2 linked regions of the Sus scrofa genome follow. The protein of the gene in region 2 purifies or fractionates together with the protein of the main gene of each other region. This does not show direct contact. Links are inferred from orthologs where the notes say so. Each region holds a gene or a part of one and is shown on either strand. Other genes may lie near its edges.

Region 1 (4,355 bases), on a different chromosome or scaffold from region 2:
CGCAGTGTGTGTGTGTGTGTGTGTGTGTGTGTGTGTGTGTGTGTGTGTGTCTATTCTATGTTAAAGAGGCGAGAGAGACATGATAACCAAATAAACGCGTGAACATTGACTGGCTCCTGTTTCAGATTAAGATAGAGTTCTCATGAGTCAACTGGGAAAATCTGAATAGGGGCTGGATAAACTTTCTAAGAGGTGAAAATAGCTGTGTTGTTGGGCAGAGGATGCCATTATTCTTAGGAGACATGCTGAAGCATTTAGAGGTGCAGTGTCTCAGCCATTTACTATCCAATGGTACTAAAAAAAAATACATTATTATTAGCTTTATTTTTCTTCAAACTTTTTATTTTGAAGTAATTTTAGAATTATGGAAAAGTTCCAAAAAATAGTGCAGAGTTCCCACATACATATACACAGAAAGCAAACGTGTCTATGTATACGTTATCTGTTTTTTAAGCCATGCCCATGGCATGTCGATGTGCCCTGGCCAGAGGTGGCACCTGCTCCACATCAGCAACCCAAGCCAATGCAGTAACAATGCTCATTCTTAACTTGCTGCGCCACGAGAGAACGCTTCAGGATATTTTTTTTAAGTAGCATGATATTAGCCATTTAAATTTTGTAGTAATTTCTGTAATTATTATCAAACAGGCAATTGAATCTATTCCCCAAACTTCAAATATTTTAACTTCTTACAGGTCTACAGGGCCCTAAATAATCCGCCAGCTCTCTGCTCTCTCAGCCAACATGAGATTCCCACTTTCCGCCCCAATTCAGGACCTTTGCACTTGCTGTTAAACCCGCCCAGATCTCCCTTCCATCAGTCTCCTTCTCCAGAAGGACCTAGTTCTAAAATAACCCCTCTATCCCCGCCCATTCCCGTACTCGGCCCTATTTTTCTTTACTGTGTTGGCCACCGTCCGAAATTTATCTTTTTAAGTGCCTTTATTGTCTCCCTCAGTACAATGTAAGCTCCAAAAAGGAAAAGACTTCGCTTCAGTCGCATGGTATATCGCCAGAGCCCAAACAACGCCACGCACACATTGGGCGCTCAATGAACAGTTACTGATTTCCTAGGTTAAGGAATCACACTGTTCACGTAGGAACTCTTTGCCAGGCGGCGGAAGGATATTTCAGTGTGAAAGACGTTACAGGCATGCGCGCAAGATCCGGGAAGTGTGTAAGAAAAGGCGTGGAGCATCAAGAGTCTCGCGGACAGAGGCAGTTGGAGCCCTGAGCGCGAGGTGAAAGGGGACCGCTTGGGGCGGAGCGCGCGTGCGCACTGTGACCTTCATCCCGCCGCGGCAAAGGAGTTTAAGGTGCCGGAAGGCGGGGTAGTGGCCTCGCGCGTGCGCAGTGCTCGCAGCGGCGCCAAGGTTCCTGTGTGTGGGTTGCACTTGACTCGCGCGGCGCGTGCGCAATAGGGTCGGCGGAGGGATTTGAGGCTGGTTCCACCCCTTGCCCCTGTCGCGAGCCGAGGCCGCGCGGGCTCGTGAGCTGTGGCCTGGTGCGCGCGCTGGGCGGGCGACAGAGACTGAGAGACGCGGTCGCCGTCTGAGTCGAAGCTAGAGCTAGAGTACCTGCTGCTGTGGGGCCGCCGCGAGCCCCTGGACCGTCGCCAGGCCGAGGAGGGCGCCGCGCGGCGGGTGAGTATGACTGAGTGGCCTTACCGGGTGCGGGGCCGCTACCCACAAGCCCCTGCGGTGGATCCCAGTCCCTTCCCCGGGGCCGGGCAGTCTTCCCGCGCCACCGCCACCACAGAACCTTTTTGCACGCCTTACCCAGAGTTCTCCGGTCACTTAGGCTTTTTCCATAGTCCCCCTCCCCCGCCCTCAGCGGTCACTTACCCACAGGCCTTTGCGCTGTGTTGCCTTTTTTCGTCCTCGCTTCCCTTCCGTCCTGGACCCTTACCCACAATCCACTTCGCCTGCGGGGCCTAGATCTATTACCCACAACCCCCTGGCTTGAGAGGTTTGCTGTTTATGACTGACCCCTTCTCCTGATCAGAGACCTCTTGCGGTCCTCCCCCTATAACCTTTTATCCAAGGTGCGGGACCACCAGCCGCCACGGCCCTAGACCTCCTTCCTCGGGATCCTTGATGCCCCACAAGCCCCCAGGGACCTTCAGCCCCGCAGTTCCTTGCTCAGGACTTCACTGCTCGGAAACCTGTTTTCAGTCTTTGTTTCTCTTCTCTTGCCCTCCCCCTCCCCTCCCGTTCACACAGCCCTCCCTCTAGAATCTGCTTGCCCCTGTGATTAAGGATCGATCGCGCTCTGTGTCCTTACAGGAGACTTTGAGATTTTTGTCCGTGTTTCTCTCTTTTCTTGGGAGGCAAGGGATTGATAGGGGCTTCATCTCCCCAGCCCACCCTAACATAAGATGGTCCTGCTTCTGCTCTCAGACTTGGCACGATGACCCAGTTCCTGCCGCCCAACCTTCTGGCCCTCTTTGCTCCCCGTGACCCCATCCCATACCTGCCACCCCTGGAGAAACTGCCACATGAAAAACACCACAATCAACCTTACTGTGGCATTGCGCCCTACATCCGAGAGTTTGAGGTGAGTTCACTGAAGAGGCTTGGAGTGGGCTGGATCGGGGAGTCTGGTCTCTGGCGATTTTCTAGCTGTGTGATTGAGGAAGGTGGCTTTTATCCTGTTTCCCTGTCTTAGATTGGTAACACAGCCCTTGTAGGGCTTTTGTGAAAATTCAGTAACTACCAGTTGAGGATTCAGACTCTCGAGTTAGGTAGTCCTTGGTGCGCCATTTATCGGTTGCGTGATGATCTTGGGCAAGAGGTGTATCCTCTAACTGCTGTGATTTTTTTCCCCCCCATGTTTAGCAAGGGAATATTAGTGTCTTTGATGTAATTTGATGGAGAATTGACTGTTTGTTTTTTTTTTTTTTTTAACGTTATGGGGCTTGACGCCAAGCAGTCAGTAAACATCAATTATTTCTTAACGTATAATGACCATTTTGGTCATTAATATGGTGAAATTTGTAAAGGGTTAGCACTTGGTGATTGGTGCATTGAAGACCACAGGCTTGAGAATTGCAGCTTTGTACCTGCAGGGTGAACAGAGATAAATGGCTTTGGCCCATGGGCCTCGGTTTTTTCATTTTCGAAATTGGGTTAACAACATCCACCTGTTGAGGTGCATCGGCGGACACCCGAGAAGTGCTGGCACACAGGAGTCAGAAGAAGAAAGTTCTGGCATCAGGTGGGAACGGGGAGGTGAAGGAAGTTGTGGAGCAGAAGTTTAGTACAGAGGTGACAGGAGGTTGGCTCTATAGTAGTATTTGCCAGCCTCGGTGAACCGGTATTTGGAAAATATGACTAGCCAGTTAAGTCAATGCAGTAGTTACAGGCTGGCGGCAGATGTGGTCATGTGACAGTTACTGTTTAATGAGTGCTCGCCGAGACCTTCAGGAACTACCCTGGCCCTCAGAAGGTGTCCAGTTGTTTGCCTCTGAGCACTGCACTGTCAGCTTCTTTTGCTTCAGGCCTGGTCCCAATTCTTATCTGTGATTAAGGACAAGTCTGCTGCAGAGTGGTGCTTTTGATAAACACAAGGATTATTTTCACTTTCTAGTATTTTTAGAGAAAGGCTACAAAGTTAAAAAAAAAACAAATCAAATTTCATTTGTTGAGTTCAACAGATATAAAGCTACTCTGTCAGATTGCTGTCGAGGTTTCTGAATACTTAATGCCAGTTTCTGTAGTTCTCTTGTCACAGACCAGTAACAGTTCCCAGATAGCATGGGGCATGGATCATGCTTTGATTTGCACCATTCCCCCACCTCCACTGGCCTAGGAACTGGCTGTGTTTGCACACATGCGTGTGTGTACAAGCGCAGGGGCGTGGCTGAGATGCTCATTATTTCCTGGATGGCGTCCCTTGCTATTTTCCCCTGTCCCTCCCACCCTGTCACCTCTTTTTGTTCCCAGGACCCTCGAGATGCCCCTCCTCCAACTCGAGCAGAAACCCGGGAGGAACGAATGGAGAGGAAGGTATGTCACGTTTGCCTCATGGCCCCGTATCTTCCTTTTGCCTCTTCCCTCTTCCCTGACATCAGGGCACGTCTCTGTGTATTCAGTGGTCTGCCCTTTTTCTCACAGAGACGAGAAAAAATTGAACGGCGACAGCAGGAAGTGGAGACAGAACTCAAAATGTGTAAGTCTCTCTCTCCTCCTTTCATGTGTCCGAGTCGAGCACGCTTGTGTTTCTCTCCCCCAGGTCCACCCCAGGACTCTAATTTGGGAAAGTGAGTTCAGTTCACTTTCTTAGCTCCCTCCCTTTGCCAAGCACTGTATTTGGTTTAGGCATTTACGCAGGCGAGTGTGGAGTAAGGGTGGACA
Region 2 (3,645 bases):
CAGAGTGCACGGCAGGTGAATTTTAAAGGAAGACAAGCAAGGAATTTTGGGGAGTGACACAGAAGCGTCTTTGACGTGGTGCTGACTGTTATTTGAGTTTTCAACAGAGTTCTGAACGGAATTCTTCATTTGCTCTTCCAATTGTACAGCACTGCCCGGTTCTTCGGGTGACGCTGCTTTTTCGACAACTCCACATTCTGAGTGGCTTTTCATGGGAAGCTTTTGTTTGGTATTATTTTTTGATTTTACTGAGAGGGCAGATACAGAAGTATTTCTTGATGAAGCCACGTGGTTACCATGAGCTTTCCGAGTTTGAAAGGTTCTCTCTATTTTTTGAATTTGCTTTTTTAGAGGCTGGGTAGGTACATTTGCTAAGTCATATGTATGCATGGCAGCTTCAACCTCCACATCCCAATCCAAACATTCTTCCATCAGACCAGGAGGAATAGGATCTACATAAAAGGAATAAAGAAACATTCAATTCTCGAGCTGCTCGAGACCAGCATTTTCTGAAAGGTTTCAAACAGCTTTCTATGGTCAAATGAGATTAAGAAACAAAATACACTAATAACATACTAAGAAGCTTAACACATTAGTATTTTAAGACTTAAGCCATCCTTGCAGTGAAGAAATCTGCCCCCAAATTTTCAAGACCCATCCCATATTCACAAGCAACTCTCTCCCTCCACACCCTCCCTAGACAAGCGCTTCTTCTAGGAGTGGGAGGGCCTCTCCAGCCGTCCTCCCATCTTTCCACTCCTCAGCTCCTCCCACTGTCTCACTGCTGGTAACAGCAAAACAAGATCGTAGACAACAGACAGTGCTCCCAAAGCCTATCAATATTACAGCTGCAACTCTCTACCCGAGTAAATCTGCCCCCCTACTTCTACCAGGGAGAAATCACTGCCCTCAACAGCGGCAGGAAAAAACTCTAGAGGGGGAAAAAGCTAGAGGCTGTGAAAAGATCTATGGTACCAACGGCACTTTGAAGTTTTAAAAAACGTGCTGGCTCCAGCTCTCTAAGTTTCCTATCCCAACTCTCTAAATTTCCTATCCCATGCAGGTATGACCATTTGTTTCCACCTGCACTCAGACTTTCCCTAAGGGTGACCGGTTTTCATCTCTGGCCGACCAGGTACACAGAGGCCCTGCTCTGCGCAGATCCTGCCTGTCTGCCGCCGCTGCTGCTGCTGCATGTATGCGGGTCCACCACTTAATCCCTCAGACGGGGATCCTTAAGCTGGGGCTCTGGACCTTTTGCTGAACAGACCCTCTGGCTAAACACAGGTTCCTAGTAAGGAGACACCCCTGGCTTGTGGAGACCGAGCATTCAGGCCAATTTCCCTCCTGCTCCTGGCAACTCAGCTCAACAGCCTGGCGTCACACAAGTGTCTAGTCCAATACAGATCTAACACTACAAATACCGCTTTCTCATGATTTCAGGGCTCTGTTAACATTTCATTTCATTTTTCTGGTATCCAAAGGCAAATTTTATTTTTATCACTACATGTTATGATACTAAATCCTACCACAAGTCCTAACGCTTTTGTACCAATTTCCAATTTATTTTCTCCATATTTGTAATTATGAATGTCTTATACATAGAGAGAATTAACATAATATAGTCTTAGAACTGATAGAGACTCTGAAGACTATCTAAAGACAAGTATTTTGTAAGTCAGGAGATAAGCTTAGAGCAATTAAAGAAATCTGTAAAAATATCATAAAATGAGTTACCACAAAGCCAAAGTACTAGATTCACAGTACTCCCAAACCTGTGCTTAATCCGGCTTTGTGAAAACCACTAAAGGAGTTCAATATAAATTGGTAAAATGTTCATGTTGTAGTCATTCAGTAACGACACATCCCATCTCTTAGAAGGTCACGTACATACTACACACACACACACACACACACACACACACACACACACACACACACACACACACACACACATACATTAACACAGAGAGCTGACCCTTGAAGAACAGAGGTTTGAACTGCGCGGGTCCACTTACATAGATTTTTTTTCCAGTATGTACCACAATACTACACAATCCATGCTTGGCTGAATTAGCAGATGCAGAAGCATGGATACGGAGGGCTGGCTGAAAGCTACATAAGGATTTTTGTTGGGCAGAGGCTTGGCACCTCTAACCCCCCACGTTGTTCAGCGGTCAGCTGTACAGCAAATAAACAGTATTTCCATCCAAGAGTTTCTTTAGGATTTTTTTTCTTACGTCTTTTTTTTTTTTTTTAGGGCCACACCTGCAGCATATGGTGGTTCCCAGGATAGGGGATGAATTGGAGCTGTAGCTGCTGGCCTATACCACAGCCACAGCAACACCAGATCCGAACCGTGTCTGCAACCTACACCACAGCTCACAGCAACGCCAGATCTTTAACCCACTGAGTGAGGCTAGGGATCGAACCTGCATCCTCATGGACCCTAGTCAGATTCGTTCCCTCTGAGCCATGACAGGAACTCCAAGGATTCTTTTTTTTTTTAAGTTTTCAAGAGTTCTTTGGTACTTTCAAACATGCATTGTTTCCAAGATGGCACTTTTAAAAAGCAGCTTAATAATGACTTGTTAAAATCAAAAGAAAATACTTCAAAATTTTCAGAATAGTGTTCAAATAAAGAAACTGTTCCTTGCCCATGGTGACAAAGGAGAATATGGCAAGAACTGCTTCAGGGCAATATAAGAGGTAAAATACACCCCTTGATATAAAAGAATAAAATCAAACTACAAGGCTACAAAGTAAAATATGGAGTTAACACAACAGGGTACTATTTTTCCACTTTTCATGTGTCATTAGTCTTACAATTTTCTCTCTGCTATTTATTAGCTACAGAACCTTAGGCAAGTTACTGAACCTCGCTATACGTCAATACCCTCACTGACAAAAAGTAGCACATCTCACAGCACTGTGGTGAGAATTAAATGAGTTAACAAACTTTAAGTGCTCAGAACAGTACCCAACACATCAAAAGTACTCTATATTAGCGATTATTTTTATTAGGCCTATCATTATAACCACTATAATTTTGACAGCAAAATTAAACAGACAAAATATACCTGGTAAAAGCAGAAGGTTAATATGACATTTCTGGGCAATTTTCATCATCATATTTTCCTCTTCTCCCCTGCAGCAGTAGGTCACTGTCAGTCCCAAAGTACCTAAAGCACAGAAGGAACGTTAAATAGTAAATCGTTTTCACATAGATGATGCTTCAAGTCCACATGTCACATTACAGATCCTTCCCCTTAAAGAAAGCACCCAAATTCTTTTTTTTTTTTTTATTTTTATTACCAAAGCGGCCAGCTCTACCAATCCGATGCATATATGTCTCCCAATCCAATGGGACATCCAGGTTTACCACCAGATTCACCTTCTCAGCATCAATTCCACGGGAAGTCTTAAATTGAAGAAGACAAGAATTATTTGTTTGCATGAACTATTGCATGAGCACACTGTATTATTTAGTCTAGGATAACCAAGAGCCAAATTAAGAGGAGAATATTTAGGAGCAAGGAAGATATTTAGTAGCAAAGGAAAAGGATATTCATTTCTACTGACTAATTTCAAGAATAAAGACAAAAATATAAAAGATGTTTTTAGGAAAGCATATTCCCCAGCACT

Evidence for each region. The genes of interacting proteins can lie anywhere in the genome.
Region 1: the proteins of DDX20 (region 2) and SNRNP70 purify together in Homo sapiens (affinity purification with mass spectrometry; 4 studies listed by BioGRID and IntAct, counting the BioPlex papers as one, with this or other methods). This does not show direct contact. The link is inferred for Sus scrofa from reciprocal best matches to the Homo sapiens genes DDX20 and SNRNP70.

Annotation. Positions count from the first base shown.
Region 1 is NC_010448.4:54,286,934-54,291,288, forward strand, and holds the start of SNRNP70 (U1 small nuclear ribonucleoprotein 70 kDa), read left to right. Parts: upstream 1-1,420; 5' UTR 1,421-1,643; intron 1,644-1,844; exon of another isoform or gene 1,845-1,913; intron 1,914-2,399; 5' UTR 2,400-2,409; coding exon 2,410-2,556; intron 2,557-3,944; coding exon 3,945-4,007; intron 4,008-4,115; coding exon 4,116-4,170; intron 4,171-4,355. UniProt on the Homo sapiens protein: Component of the spliceosomal U1 snRNP, which is essential for recognition of the pre-mRNA 5' splice-site and the subsequent assembly of the spliceosome. SNRNP70 binds to the loop I region of U1-snRNA.
Region 2 is NC_010446.5:108,626,193-108,629,837, forward strand, and holds part of DDX20 (probable ATP-dependent RNA helicase DDX20), read right to left. Parts: intron 3,422-3,645; coding exon 3,316-3,421; intron 3,183-3,315; coding exon 3,081-3,182; intron 453-3,080; coding exon 1-452.